Linked DNA regions of Caenorhabditis elegans. The protein of the gene in region 1 interacts with the protein of each later gene in a pairwise test. Each region holds a gene or a part of one and is shown on either strand. Other genes may lie near its edges.

The links. Proteins that work in one complex are often made in the same cells at the same time.
Region 2: the proteins of nlp-7 (region 1) and C01B4.8 interact in a two-hybrid assay, tested with the Caenorhabditis elegans proteins (one large-scale study listed by BioGRID).

Annotation. Positions count from the first base shown.
Region 1 is NC_003284.9:8,591,309-8,594,555, reverse strand, and holds nlp-7 (Neuropeptide-like protein 7), read right to left. Parts: upstream 1,376-3,247; 5' UTR 1,362-1,375; coding exon 1,294-1,361; intron 1,146-1,293; coding exon 1,113-1,145; intron 1,063-1,112; coding exon 943-1,062; intron 890-942; coding exon 745-889; 3' UTR 737-744; coding exon of another isoform or gene 706-736; 3' UTR 520-705; downstream 1-519. UniProt on the Caenorhabditis elegans protein: May regulate lifespan in response to food availability and oxidative stress.
Region 2 is NC_003283.11:2,488,388-2,492,144, reverse strand, and holds the start of C01B4.8 (Major facilitator superfamily (MFS) profile domain-containing protein), read right to left. Parts: upstream 1,634-3,757; coding exon 1,512-1,633; intron 855-1,511; coding exon 1-854.

The DNA of each region.
Region 1 (3,247 bases):
GAAATTTAAAAAAAAGAGGGTACTTGTGTATTACATGCCCTCATTTTCAAATTAAATTATATTTTCCCTAACTCCTCCAATTAAATAAAACGTGATATGCATTTTTCCTCTTTAGGCTTAGAAAATGTTATATCCTAAGCCTAAAAATACAAAAGTGTGGTTCACGTTTTTATTTTCCATAACTTAAAAAAATTACCATTAAAATGAGGGCATGTAATACACAATTACCAAAAAGAGAAATTTGTTTTAGTTTCAGCACATAACTATTTTATGTTACAAGTATGTTTCCACACGTGAGTTTTAGTTTAATATTTTGAGAATTAAAAACAATGATCTATAGCAACATCATTTTTTAGCATTTATCATCTCTATTTATCTCTGCCACCTTGACATTTTCACTGACATAAAGATATAAAAAAATTTATGTTTTGTCAGAGAAAGTTAATCTTGATATTTGTAAAATAGTGAAATTCCACAGGAGATTAACATTATGACGTGATTTTCAATTTGAAAAATTATTTTAATTATTTTTATATTGTGGGTGGATACTTTAATTCGTATGTATAATATATTCTCAAAGAAACAACGAAAGAATTTATTACTTTGTGTGCGACGATGATGTAATAGCGGAATATTGGATTATCAAACTGATATATAGTTGATAAAATGTCACTTTGGGTGTAGTTACTCAGTCCAGTGTTCCTGTTATTTCCTGCCAAATGCTCCTGAGAAAAATCTGCAAGATTAACACCTGCATGTAAGCCTGTTCGAAAATAGAAAATACCTAGGGTCATCGATATCAGATCCACGTTTGTCGTACATAGTGTACCTATGCAAATCGGCTAGTGAAGGGAGGATCATTCGTTTTCCAAAAGACATTGTCATCAATCTGCAAATCAGGTTATATAAAAAGCAAAGAAAACAAAAATCAAGTACTAGTACCTCGGGTCGTCCAAATCATCCATGCTTCGTCGTTGAATTCTAATTGCGCGGTAGCTCTTTGGATATGCTTGTGGCTCTGACTCAATAGCGGATCTTTTTCCAAACGAAGATGTAAACATTCTGAAATAAATTGTGTTCATATAGTGCAGAAAAAGAAAACATTAACTTACCTCGGATCATCGAAGTCGGCTTGCTTCAAATACCTGAAAAATAAAAGTATAGGGGTCTTGAACTTTTGGAAACGCTGAAATAGAATCTCTCAAGACTATGGAATTTGAAACTTATTTGTTTGGCATTCGATAATTCAACAATATTTTTTGATGTCATTCAAATATAATGTTGCAGACTTACAAAGCAGATGTGATTTGACTAGCAACACCGAAGAGAACCACAATGAGCAACGCCGCCTTGATATACATGATTACCACTGAAATAAACTTTATGGTGATAGGCTAAACAGAGAGGTTAACGAAGGAGGAATACTAATGATGGGAGATCATGTGAGAAATGAAACACGAAACATCATCCCAAAATAAAATCTCAGCACATATCAGGTCAGGTCATATATACATGAGTTGAATATATCAGAGCAAGTGGGAGTGGGAAAAGTGACAGGTGGAAATACTGGGTGAAAACTTCTAGAATGTTGAAAGCTGGACAGGAAAGGAAATGATTGATAAGCACACTGGGCTTGATTGAAAACGAAATGAAGACCACTAGTAGAGGGCGGAGCTCATGGTGCTCGGTTGTCTTCAGCCACGCCACCCCTCACACCACCTTGTAATCCGCCAATGGATAGGATTAGTTATGAAAATTGTCAAACTGAAGATTTCGATTCCTCTGTCTCTTGTTATGTGCCCACCACGTTGAGAAAAAAAGGCGGGACCGCCGTTGTATAGAGGAGCACCGAGAGGTATAGCTGGAGAGAGGGATGAAAAAGAACACCGAGTCAAAACCGATTGACATCATGTCGTAAATCTTGAGCCAAAACAAACCAAATCACGAATACAAGGTTGAAAAAAAAGACCGGGAGAGTGCAATAAAAAATTGGGCCCGTTCCTTTGATCTTCCCTTTTCCCACTCACTATTCCGTTGAGAATCTGTCTGCCGAAAAAAAAAAAGAAAAACGAGATTGGTTCGCAGATTAAAACTGCACATCACATTGCATTCCAATTTAAACCGACCATTTATGCACATGTCTTGGTTCACTGAGAACACAGATTGATTTTGATTCGGAGAAAGTTTGACAGGAAAGTTCAGAATGTCGGAAAGTGGAGCCACATACAAAAAAAAATGATTAGAAATTTTAAAGCAGAACTTGTTGCTTGAATTTACTTTAACAATATTGTGAAAAATAATCACTAATAACCGAGTTCGCTGATTAAAAAAAAAGACGATTTACACTTGAGTCATGTCTTATGCTGGTAAAAAAAATCATATATCTATTTTAGACGCTGTCCATAGAACCTAGAACCAAAAAAAGGAGGCTGAAGTAATTAAAAATTGATAAGAAGAGGGAAGAAGAACTCAAAGGATTGTGAATGAATTGCTAAGTTGTCCTACACGTGAACCACCCTCGTGAAGAGTCTGCAAGTGGGGGAGTATGTACGTAGACTTAACTTTTTCATTCCCATGAAACATGTAATTACGTAGGTCGTGTCATTTGCACTGATTCATTGCAAAACATGAAATAGTAGCTTTTGAATTGCTCTTCTCTTTCTTCCGTTTACAAAGAGTAGAAGGAAGAAAGAGTTAACAAGAATAATGCGAATTGTGTCATTAAAAACAATCCGAGGAAGATGGAGTGGGAAGCAGTACAATGGTTCGAACAATTTAATTTGATCTTCTTACGGGCACTTTTAGATTTTTCCGACTAAGGTTTTCCAAACAACAAATTCTAAAAAATTGAATATGAAAACGTTTGTCTAGACAAATTTCTATAGTAATTCATGTCTTTCAATACTACCGATATGTGGTTGTTAATCGGAAATTATGTAACTAATAAGGAATAAATAATCATGAGAATTTACATAATAGTTATCAATCAAGTGGAGCATAATCGAGAAACAATGTCCTGGATATTTCTCAATTACTAAATACAAGATGATTGACATTTCCTTATACACAATTTTGAAGGAAATGGATTAACTACAAAACTATACAACTGAAACCATAAATGAACTGAAGTGAAACCCTGTTAAGTTTTGAATTTCAAATTTAAACCTTATTTCCAATTCCTCAAACCCACGTCAGGATTCACACTTATTAGAGATTAGAAGACGGATTTTAGTAAATGCGAAAGCAA
Region 2 (3,757 bases), on another chromosome or scaffold:
ATAGCTGTCCGGCTATAGATTTGACAGCTGCTGAGAGCAAGAATGGAAGAGCACTAGCGAAGCCAGTTCCGCGAACTTCGAAATTCAAAACTTCACGCAAATAGGTTGGACCGTAGAGTACCAAGGTTAAAAATCCGAGGTTTCCACCGATGTTGGACATCCAAGTGACAAGCACACAAGGATCCTTGCAAATAGCCAAATATGGAACTGGTTCCTTATGAGTTACAGTCTTATCTTGCAAGATAAGGCTTAACTCTTTGTTCGAAACATTCCTATGATCTGTCGGAGAATCTGTGTAGAAAAAGTAGAACGCCAGGAAAAATACTATGGTGACAATTCCGAAGAGGTAGTAGATCGATCTCCACCCCCAGGATGATTCACATAGGAATCCAGAAATTGGCATGCAGATCACGTTACTCCACTGGAATGCACACGATAGAACTGCCAAAAAAGTGCCAGATTCATTATTTGGAGCCCATGCTGTCGGCACGGAGCCCAGAACTGTAAAGACCATACTAATCCCCAATCCTTGTAGAAATCGCACTACAAGAACGCTGAAAAAGTTCCACTCGACAGCTAGCGGGAATAGTATGGTTCCGAGTATTGAGAATACACCACAAATGCTCAATACTAGACGAACACCGACTCGATGCATTAATGGCATAGCAATTAATAATCCTAATAGGCCGCCGACTGCCATCGATGAAAATACCAGAGATTTCATGTTACTATCTTCAAACCAATGAGTTTCGTTTGGATGAGTGATATGGTAATCGTCTGAGACATCTGACATACAGATTACTGTGAAATTGAACGCCAATGAGTTCATTTGGAGCAGTGTCAGACATGTTAATCTGAAGAAGTTTTGGTATTATGGGAACGTTGAATTCTGAGAATGCGTATTGGGCAACATATTTGACGCGCAAAATATCTCGTAGCGAAAACTACAGTAATTCTTTAAGTGACTACTGTAGCGCTGGTGTCGATTTACGGGATCTCGATTTTTGAAATGAATTTCCCTTCGTTTCTTCGTTATATTTTCTCACTTTTTGCTTAATTATCGATTTATCGATAGAATAGTAAAATTGAGCCAAAAAAAAAGCTAAAATAATACGAAGAAATAAAGGTGCTAGGCTGACCCATCACGGTTTGATCTACAAAAATGCGGGATTTTTTTTCCAAAAAATTGTGTCGTCAGCACGTTCTTAACCATGCGAAATCAGTTGAGAACTCTGCGTCTCGTTTCCCGCATTTTTTGTAGATCTACGTAGATCAAGCCGGAATGAGACACTTTGACACAACCCGAAAATGGAATAACGCTGTTCTGTCACAATTCGCCAAAAAAAAAATCGAGATCCCCATAAATCGACACAAGTGCTACAGTAGTCATTTAAAGAGTTACTGTAGTTTTCGCTACGAGACATTTTGCGCGTCAATTGTGTTGCGCAATACGCAATCTCAGAATTTTTTGTTCCTGTAATATAAAGTGATCGAACATTCTCAAAACTTACGTCAGAATCAAAATCAAATATCGCGTCAGATTGCAACACAATATTTTTGAAGTCTTCCTGGAATTCTCCGACATTTCATCTGATTTTTCAATTTTTTCCTCAGCATCGCCGACTCGTCGCATCCTCTCTCTAAATCAAAAAATGGAAACGGGGGAAAAAAAAACATTAATAGATTTTAGAAATCAATGGAACATTTCAAAATCATGAGGAAAAGAATGACAAAAAAATCACAGAAATCAGAATACCGTCGAACAACTCCCCCCAGTTTTTATCGATACACTGGCTGCTGATTTGCATACGTTTTGAATAGGTGATTTGTGGTGCGAGTGTGTTTGGCACACGATTTTGAACTCTGGATCGGATTATTGCTCTTAAAAATATTTTGTAATTTTGCATCATTATACCGGGAAAAGTCACGTCATCTGAAATTTGTTTCGAAGATCGGAAGTTTTTTTAGGGGCACTGTAGGAATTTCCGTGTCGGCAAAACTTCTTTGATGATAGAGATGTTGGGTGTTCCGTTGAACTCTCTGATCCCGAAATAGAACACAATCTGTGTCTGAACATACAGCAAACGATTTTTTCCAGCAAATCGGCAAATTGACGGAATTGAAATTTTCTGGCAAATTGGCGGAATTGGAAATTTCCGGCAAATCGGCAATTTGGCGGAATTGGAAATTTCCGGAAAATCGGCAAATTGACGGAGTTGAAAATCTCCGGCAAATTGGCGGAATTCAATTTTCCGGCAAATGGGCAAATTTCCGGAATGGAGAATTTGCCGGCAAATTTCCGGAATGGAGAATTTTCCGGAAAATCAGCAAATTAAAAAAAAAAAATTAGAAAGCAAATTGACAGAACTCAAATATCCGGCAAACAGGCACATTTCCGGAGTTGAACATTTCCGGCAAATTGTATTAGCAGAATTGTAAATTTCCGGCAAACCGGCAAGTTGCCGATTTACCGACTAAAAATTGCCGCCCATCTCTGACACAAACTGTGGCTGAAACTTTTCCAATTCGTGAATGAACAAGAAAAAATTTGATGTATTTCTCCAAGTTCGACATAACCCTATCAGGTTTTTTGCCACTGATACCAGCCGTTTGCCAGCTGCCGTTGGGAGCTCTCTTCATCGAAAGTGCATGTTGGTAGAGCTAACTGATAAAGCGTGGTGCCACTTGGTGCTCTTTTTACCTCCGTGATAATCAGGGGGGGGGGGGGGGTGATAAGTTGAATAATTTATTGCCCAGGTCTGCCGGTTTTTCGGTTTTTCTTTCTTGAAAAACCGAAAAAAGTGGTCAAAATTGCCCAAAAACGAAAATTCTTCGGTTTTCCAAAGAATTTTCGGCGGCACCCCTGCTTGGGAAATGAAAATTCCTTTATACTGTCGACAAAGAACTGTTGAGCAGAGTCGATTCGTTTCGAATTGAATTCAATTAAAAAAGTCGTTCCTTTGGAATTTTCCGCTGCCTCTTTCGAATTTGAATATTATCCAGTTTGCGATTTTTGCCTGTTTTCCTGTTGTTTATGGTGCAATTTAGTGATTCATCACAAAAATGGTCTCGATTCCCCTCCTCGTGAGACTCCTCGTCATTCATTTTTCCAATTTCGCTCCAATTCTTCTATTGTCTTCTCTCCGACGATCGGTGGTTCGGTTGTAATAATCAAAACATACAGAGAAGGCGCTCCGCCTACCCCCATTCGATCATCCACCACGATCAAGGCTTCAAGTGTTTCATTTTTATTGAAAACTGACGATTATTTTCCTATCTCTCTCTCTGTTGATTTGATCTATTTGCTCTTCTCCTTTTGATTTGACCCCCTTTAGCGGTGGGGGGCGAACTGTTGCGCCACTGTTCCACGTGGGGAGAGGGGGGACGATTTTTTATCCTTTATTTAAACCGAAGAAGCTCAACCTACTACTCTCGCGGCTTTTTTCGTCGGCTCATTACTTCTTGGTCGACAGTTTTTTCCTTCACTGGGTTGTAATATTCTGAGAATGCACATTTTACAACACAATTGACGCGCAAAATATCTCGTAGCGAAAACTACAGTAACTCTTTAAATGACTACTGTAGCGCTTGTGTCGATTTACGGGATCTCGATTTTTGAAATGAATATTTCTTTTCGAATTGTGACAGTGATATCCCGTTCTCCTTCGGTTTTTTCGTATTTTTTAAGCAATTGCAGTGCATTTGTTTTTCCACTTCTACGATATTAAAGGGAGGCGCTTATTTATGCGGAATGGTC